4 linked regions of the Drosophila melanogaster genome follow. The protein of the gene in region 1 purifies or fractionates together with the protein of each later gene. This does not show direct contact. Each region holds a gene or a part of one and is shown in the gene's direction. Other genes may lie near its edges. The genes, in order: fand, Prp19, Bx42 and CG14641.

What was found.
Region 2: the proteins of fand (region 1) and Prp19 purify together in Drosophila melanogaster (affinity purification with western blotting; 2 studies listed by BioGRID, with this or other methods). This does not show direct contact.
Region 3: the proteins of fand (region 1) and Bx42 purify together in Drosophila melanogaster (affinity purification with mass spectrometry; 2 studies listed by BioGRID). This does not show direct contact.
Region 4: the proteins of fand (region 1) and CG14641 purify together in Drosophila melanogaster (affinity purification with mass spectrometry, with the first as the bait; 2 studies listed by BioGRID). This does not show direct contact.

Annotation. Positions count from the first base shown.
Region 1 is NT_033778.4:13,592,057-13,597,087, forward strand, and holds fand (fandango), read left to right. Parts: upstream 1-1,587; 5' UTR 1,588-1,669; coding exon 1,670-1,714; intron 1,715-1,772; coding exon 1,773-3,803; intron 3,804-3,866; coding exon 3,867-4,442; 3' UTR 4,443-4,501; downstream 4,502-5,031. Other genes in the region: S-Lap5 (Sperm-Leucylaminopeptidase 5), read left to right, coding at 4,766-5,031. UniProt on the Drosophila melanogaster protein: Subunit of the NTC(Nineteen)/Prp19 complex, which is part of the spliceosome. The complex participates in spliceosome assembly, its remodeling and is required for efficient spliceosome activation. Essential for efficient pre-mRNA splicing.
Region 2 is NT_033778.4:18,446,848-18,453,014, reverse strand, and holds Prp19 (Pre-RNA processing factor 19), read left to right. Parts: upstream 1-1,973; 5' UTR 1,974-2,106; coding exon 2,107-2,125; intron 2,126-2,189; coding exon 2,190-3,543; intron 3,544-3,594; exon of another isoform or gene 3,595-3,646; coding exon of another isoform or gene 3,647-4,088; intron 4,089-4,143; coding exon of another isoform or gene 4,144-4,914; intron 4,915-4,964; coding exon of another isoform or gene 4,965-5,074; intron 5,075-5,130; coding exon of another isoform or gene 5,131-5,207; intron 5,208-5,261; coding exon of another isoform or gene 5,262-5,301; exon of another isoform or gene 5,302-5,403; coding exon 5,404-5,548; 3' UTR 5,549-5,654; downstream 5,655-6,167. Other genes in the region: Dnaaf3 (dynein axonemal assembly factor 3), read left to right, coding at 1-238; rswl (roswell), read right to left, coding at 299-1,639; CG30120 (uncharacterized protein), read right to left, coding at 3,647-4,088, 4,144-4,914, 4,965-5,074, 5,131-5,207, 5,262-5,301; Lamtor2 (late endosomal/lysosomal adaptor, MAPK and MTOR activator 2), read right to left, coding at 5,875-5,997, 6,065-6,167.
Region 3 is NC_004354.4:9,103,321-9,108,189, reverse strand, and holds Bx42 (Bx42), read left to right. Parts: upstream 1-1,585; 5' UTR 1,586-1,742; coding exon 1,743-1,965; intron 1,966-2,232; coding exon 2,233-2,793; intron 2,794-2,858; coding exon 2,859-3,718; 3' UTR 3,719-4,320; downstream 4,321-4,869. Other genes in the region: Arfrp1 (ADP-ribosylation factor related protein 1), read right to left, coding at 258-514, 633-885, 953-1,045. UniProt on the Drosophila melanogaster protein: May play a role in chromatin structure and function.
Region 4 is NT_033777.3:4,230,256-4,234,255, reverse strand, and holds CG14641 (uncharacterized protein), read left to right. Parts: upstream 1-1,913; 5' UTR 1,914-2,013; coding exon 2,014-3,270; 3' UTR 3,271-3,477; downstream 3,478-4,000. Other genes in the region: abs (abstrakt), read right to left, coding at 1-1,127.

The DNA of each region.
Region 1 (5,031 bases):
GCAAAATATTGAATATGATATAATATTGTTAGCAGAAGTCATCTCAATATGATATTTTATAATTAGCAATGTTTTTAAGCTATTTTTAAGTGAATATGCTATGGTTTTTTCAACTCTTTTAGATTATTTACAATTTTTAGACATAATAATCATTTTAAAAAATCTCATTTGAAAACAACGGGCATTTTTAATTTTAAGAATTAAAAGTTTTCCTTGAAATAAACCCGAATCTTTGCTGGGATTTTAGCCAACTGAATTGATAAAGCTTTTCCGCTGGCAGTTAAAAAAGCTGCATGCGGCTCAAAGCTGCAGTGGTTTTAGCCGCCTTTGTTGTTGCTGTTGTTGCTGGCGGGCGGCTTAGTGTGTCAGTTTAGTGGGTGGCAACAGTGCGAAGAGAGGGGGTGGCAAAGAGAGAGATATTGGGCCACAGCCGGCAAGGAAAATCTAAGCGCTTTTCCGCACTTTCGTGTGTGTTTTCTGTTTACATTCAATACGGGAGGCCCTAAAATGCCCAAAATTTTCCCTCGGGCAACAAGAGCGAGTGGAAAATTTTTGAGAACCATCATAAACAGCTGTTCGGGAAGCGGGGAAATAGATTTTCCGGTGGTGGTTTTTTTTTACCTAGGATCCAGTCTAATTGGATTTACCTGGACCAATTGGAGTGCGGCGGCACACACAAGTTTGAGCCTGTGCGAAAAATATAAAATCAATGCAGGAACAAGTGTGTGCGAAAATATTTATGACACCCACCCACTCACACGCTCGCACACACACACTTGCAAGCACACGCACACGTGTGACGTGTTTTTTCGTGTTTTCCCCTCGTCTTTTACTTACCACTGTGCTTGGTTTTTCCACGGTCGTTGGGTATTACTTAAAACTTAATTCGATTGATAGTCGTTCTATGCTGAGAAATGTTTCAAGCGCGTCATTTTGATCTATTTTTATAGTGTTTTTTTCGATAGACTTTGATTTTTTGCCTTTGGCTGCCAACTCGCCTGCGCTCCTCACTCTCTTTGGCTCTCTTTTGCACGGCTGTGTGTGTGTGTGTGTGTGTTGGTGCACTCACGCAGTTGCCTTCGTTGCGTAAATTATGCAAAATGCAGGCCAATTGCAATGTGTTTACAAAAACAGAACAAACGATCGCGTTAAGTGTGTTTTTTGCGATTTTACGAGCGCGTTAACTGGTCTCTGCGAAATACGCAAACGGTATGAACGTCAAAATATTGGCAGCAGCGACGAAAACATCTGCAGATGGGCTTACGAAAAATTCACAAACTGAGGCCAGTGTTGGGCAGCGGACGAAGGGCGAAATACCAATTCAAAGGGAGGCAAAATATACCGCAATGGTACTCTAGAAAATTCACGATTGTTTTGGTTTGTCCATAACTTCAACGTTTAAATAAGGTGCACTTAGAAAATTCTAGATGTTCACAATTTGTAAAAAAAATGTACACAAGCCAAAGTTATCTTAGTTTTATGAACAATTTTTCTGTATTCTTAAAATATTGTTTACATGTTAATTAGGATTTAATTACTTTGGTATTAGCTGCGGTATCTTAATACCACTACTTTTCAAACCTTCTGGCAACGCCATTTCGATCAGCTGTTTTCGTGGGACGCGCATGAGAAAATTATTGTTTGCGGCATTTCATGAAAATCGCGAAAAATGGTGACAAAAACGATAAAATCTCTGAATTTAGAGATCAATTTCGTAAGTACCATGAAATATATGTAAATCACAACTAACCTATCAAGTTTTTCACACACAGGAAGTGGAGGATGTGCCGTATGAGGAGGAAATCCTTCGAAACGCCTACTCCGTAAAACATTGGCTGCGCTACATTGATCACAAAGCGAAGGCGCCGAATAATGGTGTTAACATGGTCTATGAGCGTGCTCTGAAAGAGCTTCCTGGCAGCTATAAGATCTGGCACAATTACCTGAGAACTCGCAGGAAGCAGGTGCGCGGCAAGATACCCACGGATCCCATGTACGAGGAGGTCAACAGTGCCTTCGAACGTGCACTGGTGTTTATGCACAAAATGCCACGTATCTGGATGGACTACGGTGCCTTCATGACCTCGCAATGCAAGATTACCCGCACCCGGCACGTTTTCGATCGGGCTCTAAGGGCTCTGCCCATCACGCAGCACGGCAGGATTTGGCCACTGTATTTGCAGTTTGTACGCCGCTTTGAAATGCCGGAAACAGCACTGCGAGTCTACCGTCGATATCTGAAACTCTTTCCCGAGGACACAGAGGAATATGTGGACTACCTACAGGAAGCAGATCGGCTGGACGAAGCTGCCCAGCAGCTGGCGCACATCGTCGACAACGAGCACTTCGTTTCCAAACACGGCAAGTCCAATCATCAGCTGTGGAACGAATTGTGCGACCTCATCTCGAAGAATCCACACAAGGTGCACTCCTTGAACGTGGACGCCATCATTCGCGGTGGGCTGCGTCGCTACACCGATCAGCTGGGCCACCTGTGGAACTCTCTGGCGGATTACTATGTGCGTTCCGGCTTATTTGATCGGGCAAGAGATATATACGAGGAAGCCATTCAAACTGTGACCACCGTAAGAGACTTCACCCAAGTCTTTGATGAATACGCACAGTTCGAGGAACTCTCGCTGAACAGACGTATGGAGCAGGTAGCTGCCAATGAGGCGGCCACCGAGGAGGACGACATTGACGTTGAACTGCGGCTCTCACGCTTCGAATACCTCATGGAGCGCCGTTTGCTGCTGTTGAATAGTGTGCTTCTGCGCCAGAATCCGCACAACGTGCACGAGTGGCACAAGCGGGTGACACTGTACGAGGACAAGCCCGCCGAGATCATCAGTACGTACACCGAGGCCGTGCAAACAGTGCAGCCGAAGCAGGCGGTCGGCAAACTACACACTCTCTGGGTGGAGTTCGCCAAGTTCTACGAGGCCAACGGACAGGTGGAGGATGCTCGTGTGGTCTTCGAACGCGGCACTGAGGTTGAGTATGTTAAAGTAGAGGATCTGGCGGCGGTGTGGTGCGAATGGGCAGAGATGGAGTTACGGCAACAGCAGTTCGAGGCGGCACTCAAGCTGATGCAAAGGGCGACGGCCATGCCAAAGCGAAAGATTGCCTATTATGATGATACGGAAACGGTGCAGGCGCGCCTTCATCGCTCGCTAAAAGTGTGGTCCATGTACGCGGATTTGGAGGAGTCATTCGGCACATTCAAGACGTGCAAAGCCGTCTACGAGCGGATTATTGATCTGAAAATCTGTACGCCACAGATCATTATCAATTACGGAATGTTCCTCGAGGAGCACAACTACTTTGAGGAAGCCTACCGAGCCTATGAGAAGGGCATCTCTCTGTTCAAGTGGCCCAATGTCTACGACATTTGGAACTCTTATCTAACCAAATTTTTGGAGCGCTATGGCGGCACAAAACTGGAGCGAGCCAGAGATCTCTTCGAACAGTGCCTGGATCAGTGTCCTCCCGAGCATGCTAAGTACTTTTATTTACTGTATGCTAAGTTGGAAGAGGAGCACGGTCTCGCCCGGCATGCCATGTCGGTCTATGATCGTGCCACGTCTGCTGTCAAAGAAGATGAGATGTTCGACATGTACAACATATTTATAAAGAAGGCAGCCGAGATCTATGGCCTGCCACGTACCCGCGAGATCTATGAGAAGGCCATCGAATCGCTGCCCGAGCAGAATATGCGCCACATGTGCGTTAAGTTTGCTGAGTTGGAAACGAAGTTGGGCGAAGTGGATCGAGCTAGAGCCATCTATGCTCATTGCTCACAGGTATGATAATATATATAGATTTCTAATGCATCACTTAATCTAATTATTGTTTGCATTCTTCAGGTTTGTGATCCCCGCATCACTGCAGACTTTTGGCAAACTTGGAAGGAGTTCGAAGTGCGTCACGGCAACGAAGACACAATGCGCGAAATGCTGCGCATCAAGCGCTCTGTGCAGGCCACTTACAATACGCAGGTGAACATGATGGCCGCCCAATTCCTGAGCACAAACAACGGAGCGGCTGCGGATGCTGGAGCAGGAGCTGGACCGGATGCCATGCGATTGCTGGAGGAGAAAGCTCGCCAGGCGGCAGCCGAGTCCAAACAGAAGCCCATCGAGAAGGCGGCCTCGAATATTATGTTTGTGCGCGGTGAGACTCAGGGTGGTGCTAAGGATAAAAAGGATACGGTCGTCAATCCTGATGAGATCGACATTGGAGACAGCGACGAGGACGATGAGGAGGAGGACGACGATGAGGAGAACGAGATGACGAACGAGAATCAGGCCAGTGCAGCGGTCACGAAAACCGACGAGGAAGGCCTGGTCATGAAGAAACTGCGCTTCGAACAAAAGGCCATTCCAGCCAAGGTCTTCGGCAGCCTCAAGCCCTCAAATCAAGGCGACTCTGATGGAGAGTAAATGTTTATACATATATATGACTTTTTTCGGGGTAAATACATGTATGTCGAAAGTTTTACAATTGTAATTGATCGGTTTTTATGTTCTGGCCTCAATTAGATTCTTAAATGGTACTTTGATATTAATTGTTGTCAAACGAAGGGGGCCTGTTAGATATTGTCTCCGTTTTGGATGATCTAGTTAGTATAGCCTTAGGCCAAACAGAGGAACACACTTTCAACTGTCATTCCAAAATTGTTAGGCACTTCGTGATCTAAAAAAGCTAACCAGACGTGCGCAAGGGCGGACTAACCAGGACTAACCACACACCGTGTATCTCGAAGATGGCATCCACACGCATGATCAGTGCTTTTACGCGCAATCCAAGATTATATCAACAGGTCACGGCACCCTGGAAATCGTACAATCTGTTTGGAACACCACTTTTTAACCACAGACTTCAGCCAGCGGATTCTCAAATCTGGAGGGGATTAGCAGACAAGTGTGACAACAAGACTGTTATCAAGGGCGTGGTGGTGGGCGTCTACTCCAAGGAGGGCGACGGTAAGGAGGTCAAGATGACGTCCAGCGGCGAGAAGTTCGACGACCG
Region 2 (6,167 bases), 4.9 Mb from region 1:
GAACATGTGGCTAAAATACAAAAAGACCGATAAAGATGAACAAGAAGATGAAGCCGTGACAGAAGCCATGCCAGAAAGTACTTTCAAATATGACACAGACACAGATTATGGTGAACCTGCTGAAGAGTATACTGGTCTAGTAATTGAAGAGATTCCCTCATCGAATCAGACTGTGGCAGCCATTAAGAAGGAAGTGGAGGCAGAAGGTCCCCTACAACCAAAAACTAACTTCCCATGAATAAGAAATCCGAATCCGAATAAAATGAAATATGCATCTTAATGAATACAACGAGTAACTTTAATTTTGTCTCTGCTTTTTCTTTTGCTTCCCCGTTGCCCAAGTGTCCAGTTGGAACTCCAAGCCCTCCCGTCGCTGCCTTACATTCTGCGGAGTTGCATAGGAGGTAGCCTGCCGGCGATTCTCGTCAAAATCAAACAGATGATCGATTCGCATATTAAGCTTCCTGGCCCGCGTGCCTGTGCTCCAATGATCTTTCTCCCTGCGCGGCTGGAATTCGTTTTGCACGACCTTCCGACGGGGCACATGCTTCAAGGCCGTATCCCAGTCGCCGGTTTTCTTGAGGTCCAGCATAATGTTGATCATCTGGTTTAGAGTTAGCGACTTTCCCGAACCGGAACCCCACTGTAGGTAGCGATCCAGGGGCAGTCTCGCCATCCGAAGGCCCAATCGTTTGGCTTTGGCCAGCGAAAGGGGTTCGTTGTTCATAGTGTCTACCATGGCGCCCACGATGTAGATGTCATCTGGGTTGTAAGTGACCAGATCCTCCCGGCAGTGGGGCGTTAGGTAGACCAGGTTCTGCTTGGGAAAGAGTTCCGTAAAGCACTTGCTATGCAAATTTATCGGGAACTCTGGATTGTGCATGGTGGGGATGTAGCGTTGGAGGCTCTGCATGCATCTGCTGTCCATCTGGGTGTTGCAATAGTGCAGATCGAAGGGCTCATCATTCATCCGGTTCTCCGCAAAGCACATCATCAATTGCTTTGCTGCATAGGTAGCCTCCCGATTGTTCATGTGCTCATCGTAGGAGCAATCCAAAACCATTTTGGGGGCAAACTGCATGGCCCGTGTGAGTCGGTTGTTCTGCCAGTGATTAATAGTGGTATCATAGATACGCAGAAACAACGATGTGTGTCCCAGGCCATAGATAATGTGCGTATTCTCCTCGCGCTCCTTTCGCATCTCCGCAACCCGCCGCTCGGCTTCCTTCGCTCGCTCTGCCTTCTTGCGTTGATCCGCCTCCTTCTTCATCTCGATTTGCCAGAGATAGCCAAAGTACTTGATCCTAGCTGATTTTGTGGGTAGCGTCAGCACGTGCTCCCAATGATGATCCTTAAAGAATTCCAGTGACGGCACCCGCCGACCCTCCTGGTGGGCAATGTCCGCCTCCAGCTGCAGCACCTTGAGTCGCTTATCCCGTTCCTCCTTGTTCTCTGATATCGTATCATTACTTAACGCAGGAGCGGGCTGGGAAAACGGATTGACGAACTTTTTTTGGGGTTCCTCTGTGCCGGCTATCAGGTTCTCTGCGCTGGAGGTTTTGGAGGCTTGCCTCACTGGTGCGGCACATCCCTTTAGCAACTGGCTGCCCAGACGCCATCGTGCAAAATGCTTCAGCATTTTAAAAATATACCTTAATGGCAGTAAACTATGTTATAAAACTAGATCGTGAATTGAATAACAGAAACAACGTGCTAGGGTTGCCAGCAATTATGGATTGTGCGTGCGGAACTGTGATTGGCAAAACGGTGAGATAGCTGATTGATTTAAGATATGTTACTCACTTCTCTATCAGTAAATGTCATTTATCTATAAAAACTATTGTTATGGATTAAATACTTATTGAATGTGTTGTGTTATCAATAAAATAAATTGTTTAAATTCTAGCTAGTTTTTTCTGTGCAAATTTCTAGCCAAAATCCATTTGATCTGGCAGCCCTGTGCTCGAAACTCCCGCGTCGCCGAGTAACTGGCATAATAAGAAGAAGCGGCTTTGCCGACAATTTTGCGCTTGGCTCGGGAAAAACGTGTAAAACATTTAATTTACCAACAAGACTACGCGAAAAGCGACATAATCACAAACAGCAATGGCTTTGGTTTGCGCACGTAAGTGAATAATTTAGATTTTGATTTGAATTGGGCCATTATGAATCGCACTTTCCATTCCAAGTGACAAACGAAGTCCCCGAGACGCCCGTGGTTTCCCCGCACTCGGGAGCCGTTTTCGAAAAGCGGGTGATTGAGAAGTATCTGTTAGAGAATGGCTGCGATCCCATTAGCGGCAAGGAGCTGAAGCCGGAGGAGCTGATCGAGATCAAGACGCCGGCTGTGGTGAAACCGAAACCGCCAAGTGCCACCAGCATTCCGGCCACTTTGAAAACGATGCAGGACGAGTGGGACGCCCTCATGATTCACTCGTTCACACAACGCCAGCAGCTGCAAACGACGCGCCAGGAGTTGTCCCATGCGCTGTATCAGCACGATGCCGCCTGTCGTGTGATTGCCCGCCTCAATAAGGAGGTGGCCGCCGCTCGCGAAGCTCTGGCCACGTTGAAACCGCAGGCGGGCATTGCCAACGCACCCACGGCAATACCACAACCGGCCCTGGCCTCTGAGGCTGGCGGAGCTGCTGCCCATCCCATGGAGCAGGCGGGCATGAGCGCCGAGGTCATACAGAAACTGCAGGACAAGGCCACGGTGCTGACGCAGGAGCGTAAGAAGCGCGGACGCACTGTGCCCGAGGATCTGGTTACAACGGATCAGGTTAAGAACTTCCTTACTGTGGCATCCCATCCCGGCCTACACTCGGCCTCCGTTCCCGGCATTCTGGCCTTGGACATCAACAGTGCTGATCACAGTAAGATTCTGACCGGAGGCAACGATAAAAACGCCACCGTGTTCAACAAGGACACAGAGCAGATGGTGGCCATCCTGAAGGGACACACCAAGAAGATCACCAAAGTCATATATCATCCTAACGAGGATACAGTCATAACCGGCTCGCCCGACATGAACATACGCATCTGGCACGTGCCCACTTCGCAGACGCAGCTTCTCCTGCGCTGCCACGAAGGACCTGTTACTGGCCTTTCGCTGCACCCCACTGGCGACTACTTGCTGTCCACATCATCCGACAAACACTGGGCATTCTCCGATATCCGCACAGGACGCCTGCTCACCAAGGTAATCGATACCGCCGAAGTCGGGCTGACGACAGCGCAATTCCATCCTGATGGTCTGATCTTCGGTACGGGCACCGTGGACTCGCAGGTTAAGATCTGGGATTTGAAGGAGCAGAGCAATGTGGCCAACTTCCCTGGTCATACCGGTCCCATTTCGGCCATCTCCTTCTCGGAGAACGGTTACTACCTGGCCACCGCTGCAGATGATGCCTGCGTTAAGCTGTGGGATCTGCGAAAGCTGAAGAACTTTAAGACAATCCAGCTTGATGACGGCTACGAGGTCAAGGATCTGTGCTTCGACCAAAGCGGAACCTATCTGGCTATCGCCGGCAGCGATGTCAGGTAAGTGAATTGTACTTTTCTTATTGAAATCATTCAGAATGAGGTTAAAATAAGTTTTAAATTGTATTCATTTAATGTTTTAAGTATGGTGTTGTTGTCTAGCTTAGACTTTATTTTTCCATCGTTGCTCAACCTGCTGATCATGATGCTTCTTGAAATGCGCCATCCAGTTGTGTAGCCGGTTCTGCTTGACTAACGCACGGCGAGACATTTCCTTCTCCGCTGCCATGCGACGTCGAACCTGCTGCTCGACACTTCGCAGCTTGCTCGGTTCGATGTGGTCCAGTTTAGCCAAGAGCTCCAAAACGTAGCCCTGGATTTTCTCCACCTTGGCAAGAGTCGTGTCCTGTTCGTCCGCGTATGTAGACTTGGGTGGCGGTGGTGGAGGCTGCATGTCTTCCAGTGTTCGCCATTGCTTGGACGACTTCTGGGCTGCTGGCTTGGATGGCGGCTGCGTAACCTCTCGCTTTTGCTCCGGCTTAACTTTGTTTTGGATTTGCTTGAGAATAATTGGTACAATAGCATTTAGCTTGATATTCAGCTTGCTGGAAATTAAGAATATAAAATAGTTGATTCAAATATGTACGCATCCCAACTCACTCCTTGCAGTATCTCTGCTCGAAGTCATTTAATAGACCCTTGGCACGCTCCTGAAGACCTGCCACCCGTCGCTGCAGGAACTCGGGATCCTTGAGGAACACATTGGCTTTCACCTGACGCTCGTACGTCTTCTGGGCCTTGTCATGGAGGATGGCTACGATGTGGTTCAAGATTGCCAACTGAGAAAAGCGCCTGTTGTAGTTGGACACCTTTAAGCGATTTCTCTCATAGCCACGTATCCAAATCTCTGCATTGAGATGATTCCGCTTTGCCAAATACGGACGCACTATCTTCTCCATGTAGTCTTGGACTTGACGCACTTGCTCGAGACCCGCTGGATGTCGTTCGGTGATCTCCATGGCTACGATTTCCTGCGGCATGCTAAGCCTATTGCTGGCATCGTCTCCCTCGGTTTGCTCCTCCTCAACTGTGTCATCAAAGTAGCTGATCAGTTTGAGTAAATACTGAAAGCGACCGTAGACCTCCTGCACTTCCATCAGCACTCGCTGATGCTCCAGCTTCACCTCGTTCAGCTCTTCGCTCAGTTTGCTTTCCTTCAGTGTCTTCAGCTTTTCTTGGGCCTCTAACATTTTCTTAAACTCCTCCGCTTCCATTTTCTTGAGCGACTCCTCTGCAAACTTGTGAAACTCCTCGGCCTTTTCGTATACATTGTCTTGGTATTCCTTCTCGCGTTTTCGGTCCAAAAAAAGTTCTTGCGTAGCATAGTACATAAAGCGATTGCGGGTAATCTCCCTCAAGAGTAGGATGTCCCTGAAAAAGCTGTGAAATTGCACCAGCACATAATTCATTTGATTCCTTACGTTTTCATGCGAAATTTTCTGGCCAAACGTTGCGCACTGGCGTCCTTAATATAATCGGGATCGATGGTGGTGACCACACAAGGAGCACGGGGATTGGCGATCTCTCCGCGCTGAGGAATATTAATAAAACTTAACTTTGGAAATATAAAAATTAATTATTTCGCACCGCATTGAAGTCCTCAATCGATAAGTTTATGGGCTTTGGAGGCTCCGGTTCCACATGGGTCTTGGGTCGCACGAAATCTTGAAGAGCAGCATGCATTTTTAAGTCTTCGCATATTAGAATATAATACTTACTTTCATATTCGCGGTAAACTTTTCTTTTAAACTTTCGCATTGTTAAGTTAAATTCGCCAAAGAAGATTCCCTTAGTTAACTTGTTTATTTGGTTGCCACGGTACAAATACAAATTCTGACGGTTGCTTCGTTTTATTTACAGGGTTTACCTGTGCAAGCAGTGGCAGGAACTGAAGGTATTCAACGACCACACGGCCCTGGCAACGGGCGTGAGATTCGGCAAGCACGCCCAGTATCTGGCATCCACCAGCATGGACCGCACCCTGAAGCTCTACGCCATCGAATAAGTCCACACTTAGTAATTAAGTCCAAAATTTTCTTATACAATATTCCCTAATGATTGTGTGTTTTCTTGAACAAATCTTGCAGAATAATAAACCTGACCCTCTATCCAAATAATTCAGAATACGAAATATCTTTGGGTTACTTTTGGAAACCAGCAGACAAGTTTTTCCTTAAATACTAACAAAATCCTTAAAGATTCATAATTTCAAGTACTAATATATTATCGTTTAAACTTTTCCGCAGACTATTCATATTCATTTGATTCACTTTTGATGCATACACTTATTAACTTATTCATTTCGGAACTTGGTACATCATTGTTTTATCCTTATGAGGCCGAGATCTGCTTAAGCGGTCGCTCCAAATAGGAGGCCAGTGACATGGCCTTTTGCTTCAGAAGACCCAATCCCACCGTTTGCTTGGCGTACAGGCACAAAAGGACACTGGCAACCTGTAAAAAGGAATATAGTTAAGATTTTATAGAACGAATCCCTGCTAAAAAAAAGAGGATCACCCACCTGTGTGATGGCCACATGACCGTTTTCACAATCGATGAGCACGAAAGTGAGGCGACCTTCGCGAAAGGCGTTGCGTCCATGCTTCTCGTAGGCCGCCCATATG
Region 3 (4,869 bases), on another chromosome or scaffold:
AGTATTTGTAATTCGTTGTCCTATGCAGAAGTCTCACAGCTTTCTAACATTGTTTTCCTCATTTTCTCAGCAGTAGTTAACCGAAAAGAAAGGTCTTTGCAAATAATGACAACGCATCTTTACAATTGGTATCTCGCAATCTCGTCTGGCTAATTACAAATAAGCGTTATCCTAAGCCCCTAACTTACAAAAGTACATGTCTAATTAAAGCCAGTGGAGGGCCGACTACCAGGCCCAGATGTCTTCTGCTTGATCTTCTAATCGTTTTCCCGCGGCGGCCGCACCACCGCATGTCGTTTGATGGCCTCCACCAGCCACTTAATGCCCTCGTCCACGCCCTCGCCGTGCAGCGCGGATACGGGAATGGTGAGGCAATCTCGCCGCCCGATTAAAGCACCCGCCTGCTGGAAAACTGGCTTGATCTCCCGCACGCCCATCACATCCGGCAGATCCTGTTTGTTGGCCAGGATTAGCAAAGGCACTCCGGACAGCAGTTCGTTCTTGATCATCTTGTCTGTGGGGAAAGAGAATAACACATTTTAGGTGAACCTTTTTCCTTTTACCAGAGATCATCAGAATAGATCAAAACGAGTTTTGTTCAAGGGATTAGTTCGAAGACTGTTTTCGCTTACCAAATATCGCTTTGGACTCTTCCATGCGCTCCCTGTCGTTGGAATCAATCACGTAGATGACGCCATGCGACTCCTGGTAGTACTTATCCCAGAGAGATTGCAGCTCCTGCTGGCCACCAAGATCCCAGAAGTTGAGGCGTACGCCCTGCACGTCGATGGTGCCGATGTTGAGGCCCACCGTCGTCGTGATCTTGCTCGGATTGAGGCCCTTATAGTTACGCGTAAACGTGGTCTTGGCGGCCTCCAGGTAAGTCTACGTGGGCACAGGTGTTAGTTTCCGATTGGACATGAGGCTTTCATTGGATGATTCAGCTGCCTACCGTTTTGCCAGCATTGTCCAGGCCCAGGATTACCACGCAGTAGTCGTCCTTCTGAGTCATGTATTTGTAGAAGCCGTGCATCAATGTGTACATTGTATTGTGTTTTTGGCCAACAAAAACAAAAACTTAAATTGTTGACTGAACTGCTAGCGATGGCACTGCCAGCGGCTAGGGCGATGCGATAGTATCGATCGGGCAAGTGTCACTTATATCTATCTAATTATTAGGGGGATGTCTATAAATTATATTTTTAAGTATTGCACAGTTCTGTTAAGGTAATAAAAATAAATTATTCAAATTTTCTCTGATTGCCCCTGATTTTTATAAACCATATTGTAGTATTTTGATAAGAACATTCGAAATAATGGTCCAAATATGGAATGTCATACCTCGTTAAGCTCGTAATAAAATTTCAAATCAAACTGTGTTCAAAAATGCAAATTCAATTTTTTGACCATTTTTTGCAAATTTTGATGATGTTTGATGACCATTACCAATCCACTACCGATTCGCGTTCAAATTTGGAAAAAGCTATCGCTTTGTTATTTCTACCAATTTGGTTTTCTTACGTCTTAAGAAAAACGCAATATATGCAATCCATCCCTAAAAGGGACCATACTCTATAGCATTTTCTTATTAGCAGTCTGGCAACCCTACACACCCGTACGCTTGTGTGTGTCCGTGTGCGTGCGTGTTTTTTTTTTCGACTTTTCCATTATAGTTTTTGTGGCTTGCATATTGAAAAGTGATTTCACATAAGAATTGATTCGCCACAAATAACAGATAAGCTATGTCGCTATCAAGCCTGCTGCCCACGCCGACGAACGCGATCTGGGATCGGGAGGACGAGCGTCGCCTGGTCGCCCGCGGAGCACCAAAGATCGGAGCCCTGGTCTCCGCCAAAATCGCTGCTCCGCCGTACGGACAGCGTAAGGATTGGGTACCACATACGGATGCGGACTTTGGCGATGGCGGCGCCTTCCCGGAGATCCATGTGGCGCAATATCCACTAGGTGGGTTCCCGTTCGTGCTAATCCCACTTTCTCTGTGCTTGCAAACAATGTTGTCGCGGTTTTTCGTTGGTAATGGTGTCCTCGTAAGGGAAATAACCATTAGCTTCTTATATGTGGGTGATTGTACAGCGAGAAGGCTTCAATTTCCACCACATTAAGTTAAACGTTTGCTGTAGAATGTTGTATTTTTGTATTTTATGATCAGCATTTTGAAGCGTGGCTTATTCAATTGAAACAATTTCTGCGTCTTCTTCATCTTCTCGACAGGTCTGGGAGCACCAGGAAATGTTGGCAAGAAGTCGGATGCTCTGGCCGTTCGCCTGGACGACAAGGGAAAGGTTAAATACGATGCCATAGCACGCCAAGGACATGGCAAGGACAAGATTGTGTACTCGTCCATTTCGCAACTGCTGCCGGCGGAGGTGTTGGCCGAAGATGCGGATGAACTACAGCGCCCGGACGAGGAAACGGTGATGGAGACGACGGAGGAGACGCGCCTGGCGCTGGAGAAGCTGACCAACCAGAAGATCACCTCAGCGCTGCCCGTGCGCCATGCCCAGAAGGCGGGTCCCGCCCAGTACATTCGGTACACGCCCTCGCAGCAGGGCGATACCTTCAATTCGGGCGCCAAGCAGCGTGTCATCCGGATGGTGGAGGCGCAGCTCGATCCGATGGAGCCGCCCAAGTTCCGCATTAACAAAAAGATTCCACGAGGTCCACCATCGCCGCCGGCACCTGTCCTCCACTCACCATCGCGCAAGGTGACGGTCAAGGAGCAAAAGGAGTGGAAGATCCCGCCCTGCATATCGAACTGGAAGAACGCCAAAGGTGCGAGCTAATGTAAAACTAGAATCCTCTTCATTATCCTAATTAAATCTTTGCCTCGATATCAGGTTACACCATTCCACTGGACAAGCGTCTGGCAGCCGATGGACGCGGTCTGCAGCAGGTGCACATCAACGAGAAGTTCGCCAAGATGGCCGAGGCGCTGTACATAGCCGATCGCAAGGCGCGCGAGGCGGTGGAGGCACGCTCCCAGCTGGAAAAGAAGCTGGCCCAAAAGGAGAAGGAGAAGAAGGAGGATATGCTGCGTATGATGGCGCAGCGGGCTCGCGAAGAGCGAGCGGGACTACGCAATCCGGAGGCAGCCGAGCCATCTGGTTCCGGAGCTACAGGATCCGAGGTGCGTGAACGCAACGACTTGCGGGCAGAGCGGCAAAGGGAGCGCCAGCGGGATAGAAACCTGCAGCGGGCGGCTCCCGAAAAGCGATCGAAACTGCAGAAGGAGAGGGAGCGTGACATTTCTGAGCAAATCGCTTTGGGTCTGCCCGCCAAGAGTGCCGGCAACGGTGAAACGCTCTTCGATCAGCGTCTATTCAACACCACCAAGGGCATGGACTCCGGTTACGGTGATGACGAAGCGTACAATGTGTACGACAAGCCGTGGCGCGATTCCAATACACTGGGCGCTCACATCTACCGACCCAGCAAGCAGGCGGATAGCGATAACTACGGCGGTGATCTGGATGCCATTGTAAATACCAAGCGTTTCGTGCCAGACAAGCAGTTCTCCGGTGCCTCCAAGGAGGCGGCCGCTGGCCAGAGGAGTGGACCCGTTGAGTTCGAGAAGGAGGAGGATCCCTTCGGTCTCGATCAGTTCTTGAACATGGCCAAAAAGGCGCCCAAGCGTGCCGAGGAGAAGAACAACGAGCGCAGCAGCCATTCGGATCGCAAGCGCAGCAAGCGCGATTAGACAAAAGCTTTAGCGTGAGGATTACCAATCATCGTTGTATCGTCATCATCATCATTGCAAACACTATTCACCATTCACCAACCAAACAAACGTTTTTTTTAACTACTCCAACAACTTGGCGAGAATTTCAATAATAATCACAGGATCTTGACATAAACATGAATGTGTAATTACGGGTTATTTGGCATAAGTGCGCTTGGAGGAACCTCAATCAGCACACATCCGATCCAGAATCACAGATTGGTCAGTGAAAGATCAGTGGTGTGACCACATACGGCGATGGTTTGATTGCTCTTCACGTGCGCATCCATGCGGGAGAAGGTATAAGCCGAGGGAGCAAGGATACTGGCTTCCGGATCTAGAATATAATACAAAATAAGCAATAGTATGATAGAAACTTTTAAAATATGATGACCATCTTTTTGGCGCCTATAATCAAAGAATAAAGTGACCCTCTTTTGCCAATAAGCTTTCTAGCGGACCTTTTTTGTAGTGTTATACCACTCCGTTGAATTCCGTTAAATTAATAGGAATGCAAATAATGTATTTAAGAAATAACCAATCCTAAGGTACTTGATTAAATGTAACAGTAATTGACTGTCACCCTGCCTACATATATTATTCCAAATTATGTTTTCTTAAACTTGCAAATTTGTTCACTACGCAAAATATAAATGAAAAACAGTATTTCGCCGGTATTTTTAGAGCAGCTTTATCGTCCGCACGCACGCTGGTCACACTGTGTGACATTGAGTTGACTTTAGTTGCATTAGTTTAATTGCAATTTTATTCGATTTATTCGCAAATAAGTGAGCAGCCCAACGTCGAAACTCGAACGGCAACGGTCCACACCGCCATCCGCCGCATCCCGGAGAGAATGCGCTGTCCTCGCGGCGAATTCCACGGATTCAACGGCTTCTAGCGGCCGCGAGGTGTTCCGAGGAGCTCTGGGATTCTAGCACCACCTCCTCCACTCCGCCGAACCACAACAAACGATCCACAGCGATCCCAACCGATCTGATATTATGTAAGTTGAGCGTGCCCGCGTCGTGGATGGTAAACAACAATCATATCATCGAAGGCACCCTATTCCATACGCCCAAGCAGCAGTAATCCCATATTATATAGCCCTCGCAGCTGACCTTTTCTAG
Region 4 (4,000 bases), on another chromosome or scaffold:
TTTGGCATGGTGGCAGAGAATAAAAGTGTCTGTCGCTGGCCTTTGAAGAAAGAGAATATCGTACGAACGTCCTCTTCAAATCCCATGTCAATCATGCGGTCAGCCTCGTCCATGCACAAGTACCGGCACATGTCCAGCGTAAGGATCTTCTTGTCCAGCATATCCATTAGACGACCAGGGGTCGCCACCACAATATGTACGCCGCGTGAGATGACGTCAAGGGCCTCGCTGACCGGCAAACCACCCATGGCCAGGCAGGAACGAATCTCAGGCATTCCGCATGCCTGGAGGTGCTTGCTGTAGTGTTGAATTATCTCGTGTGTTTGCTTGGCCAGTTCGCGGGACGGGCAAATGATCAGGCCGTAGGGGCCCTCGTTACGCTCAAAAGGCAGACTATACTCCTGTTCCAGGGCAAACATGATGACTGGCAGCACGAAGACAAGCGTTTTTCCAGACCCAGTGAAGGCTATTCCAATTAGGTCGCGGCCGGCTAGTACAGTGGGCAGGCCTTGCACTTGGATTGGGGTCGGGTTCTTAATGCCTTTGGCCGCTAAGCCGTTAAGTATACCTTTAGGGAACTTCATTTCCCGGAAGCTGCGAATTGGCGGGCTGGGGGTTTCTCCCTCCACTAGGATCCTCAACTCGTGGCGAACGGCCTCGCGCTCTTCCTCCGACATTTCCCGAATGTAACGCGGCGGTTTCCAAGCTGTTTTAATAGGCTGCTCGTACTGAATCCCCTTCGCCAACTCTGCCACACCCATAAGGGCCTTCTGCTGAGCAATGCTCTCCATAATCTTTTCCTCCTCTCGCAGCTGCTTTTCGACGGCACTCAACTTTTTGGCCTCGGCAATTTTCTTCAGTTCTGTGTGCTGGTCCAGCAGACTAATGTTGTACTTGCGTCCCCAGGTCTCGACATCGTGCGCACCCTGCGAGTCGTCTTCATTCTCATTCTCGCTTGACGACTTGGGCTGGGCCGTTTCCGAAACCAGTTGCACGATCCTGCCCAGCTTTATCATGTGCTGCTTCTTCCGCTCCTTCACCGGTACGTATGGCACGTAGTCCTCGTTGTCCAGGTCGCCTTCCTCCGAGGACTTAGACGACCTCCGATACCGCTTTACGTGCGCCATAGCATTCGATCTATATTTCTGATTTTTGTTTGTTTCGTTTTCGCCTAATTTGACTACAACAAAGGCCACCGTACGACGTTTTAAATTAGGCGAGCCCGAAAAATACTATATTCTAATGGGTATCGATTACAGTTATTAAACAGTGATTCCACTGACAGCTTCTTGCTTATGATATATTCATGGCATGCAGACCGGATAATAGTTTTTTTTTCAATTTGGGCAAAATCTTTCGATTTCGTTTTTAGGTGCTCTGGTTTTCTGAGTTTGAGATTGAGTCTTTCTTTTTTTGTGAAAACCAAGCAACGTGAAAAATGCAACTTTTAGCGCGAAGGTTGCCATACTGTTGGTGAAATATAACAGGCAGGTAAAAATACTTAGTAAATATATTTAAAGCAGGGCCAAAAGTGCTGTTCGTAAATAATGATAATTAATTGAATAACATAAGTGGTCAGAGCGCAGTGAATACGTAACTGCGAACATCGGAATTAAAAGTGCCAAAAACTCTGTGTAAATCGCCCAGAAACATTTTATATGAACTTATGCGTGCTATCAAAAGTGTTTCAGGAACATTTCTGTTAAACGGTTAGCGAACATGAATAGTACAGAATAGTAGAATATCGTATTGATCGGTTTCGGATCAGTCGAATGCAATATATTTTTGTGTGCATTTGGGTATAGATATATATTCTAAGCAGTGTGAATATGCTATTAAATTCAATAAATTATATCGATTGCTGACTTTGAACTAACTGTCTGCTTCTGGCTCAACTTATCGATATTGGTATATCACTCGCGACACACCACCATTTTCGACAAGTAGAAAGCGAATGAGCATTGTCTAAATTTAGCTCGGATTTTAAGTGCAAGGTACATAAGTGCCGCTGCTATGTCTATGTCAAAAACGACTAACACCTATAACCGGCAGAACTGGGAAGATGCTGAATTCCCAATTCTGTGCCAAACTTGCCTTGGCGACAATCCGTACGTGCGGATGATTAAAGAGCGGTTCGGCAAGGAATGCAAGATATGCACGCGTCCATTCACAATATTTCGATGGTGTCCTGGTGCTCGTATGCGCTTCAAAAAGACGGAGATATGTCAAACGTGTGCGCGCCTGAAGAACGTGTGTCAGACCTGCCTCTTGGACCTGGAGTACGGACTGCCGATTCAAGTACGAGATGCGGCGCTCAAAGTGGCTGACAATATGCCACAAAGCGACGTTAACAAGGAATACTACATCCAAAACATAGACGCCCAGCTGCAGGACGGAGATGGCACGGAGGCGGCAGGAGCTGTCGGTCGATCCCTCGCCGCCAACGAGATGTTGTCCAAGCTTGCGCGCACAGCACCCTATTACAAAAGAAATCGGCCGCACATCTGCTCCTTTTGGGTTAAGGGCGAGTGCAAGCGTGGAGAGGAGTGCCCATACCGCCACGACAAGCCCAACGAGCCGGACGATCCGCTATGTGAGCAAAACATCAAGGACAGGTACTACGGACGCAACGATCCTGTGGCCGAGAAGATCATGAAGCGTGCAGCCTCGCTTCCCACACTCGAGCCGCCGGAGGACCGCAACATCACAACTCTCTATGTGGGGAACCTTCCTGAAGAAATCACGGAACCCGAGCTGCGAGATCAGTTCTACCAGTTCGGCGAAATTCGATCAATTGCGCTGGTGCCACGCCAGCAGTGCGCTTTTGTGCAATACACCAAAAGAAACGCTGCCGAGCTGGCTGCTGAGCGGACCTTTAATAAACTGGTGATCCAGGGCCGGAAGGTGAGCATTAAGTGGGCTCACTCTCAGGCAAAGCAGGGCACCGCTGCAAAGACAGACAGACGCTTCGACTTGGCCGGCATTCCACCGCCTAGCGCGAAGCCCAACGACTACTTCAATCTTCGCCAAGAGCAAATCAATGTCATGCCCGCCGGCATGAAGCTGCATCAGTTGCCATCAAATCTAGTTCCGGCGTCGGCTTACCAAATGTATGGTCAGCCTACTTATGCAGCTCCCTACGGAAACGCCACTTCCACAGCCCTTTCTTCCTCGGGTGTCAATTTGGATTCCATATCGATTCCTCCGCCACCGGGTCAAGTACCGTATCCAAGTCAGGACGCCAGTCGGATGGGAGCTGTTAAAAAGTAGGAAAACCCTGTGGTCTACAATGGTTCCAATTCAATAAATCATTTTTATAAAATTAAATACAAACTTTTTAAAGTGGTCAGTTCCATAAAAATGACTTAATATTAATAGAATTTATCCGTATGGACGAAATTGTTTTCGATTCGAATTGTTAAGAAAAAACACCAAACAATTAGAGAGGAGAAGATAATAATAAATGATTTAAACTCTAAAAAAAAAAAGAAAAAAAGAACAAATTTTCGTCACAAAAGCTTATATCAAAACTTTTGTACATATGTATGTTGATGTGCGTTCGTCACTCGTTTTTACCTTTAATAAATGCTTTTCTTTGATTTGGACGATATTTGGGATTAAAAAAAGTACACCAATGCACATGTACATATGTAAGTTCATTCTTCAGTATTTATAGGGGAACTTAACATTGGGATTATGACTACCTCCCTGCATTCCATTCATTCAGATTTCATCAGCTCATTACTGATCATTAAAAATCTCGATCAAATTAATCACAGGTTAATTTGTATTAAAAAAAAAAACCATGACCTGAACCTATGTTCTAGGAAATCATCGCATAGCGCAAAATCAAAATCACGCATAAGCGCTATAAATGATAGCTCAATTCATCTCTCTACACCTCTTTTTATTCACTTAATCCTCTATCAATTTTAATGAAAAAGTGAAATTTCAGTCATTTATTAATAAAAATGTATTTTCTTAATTAGACTTATTTAAA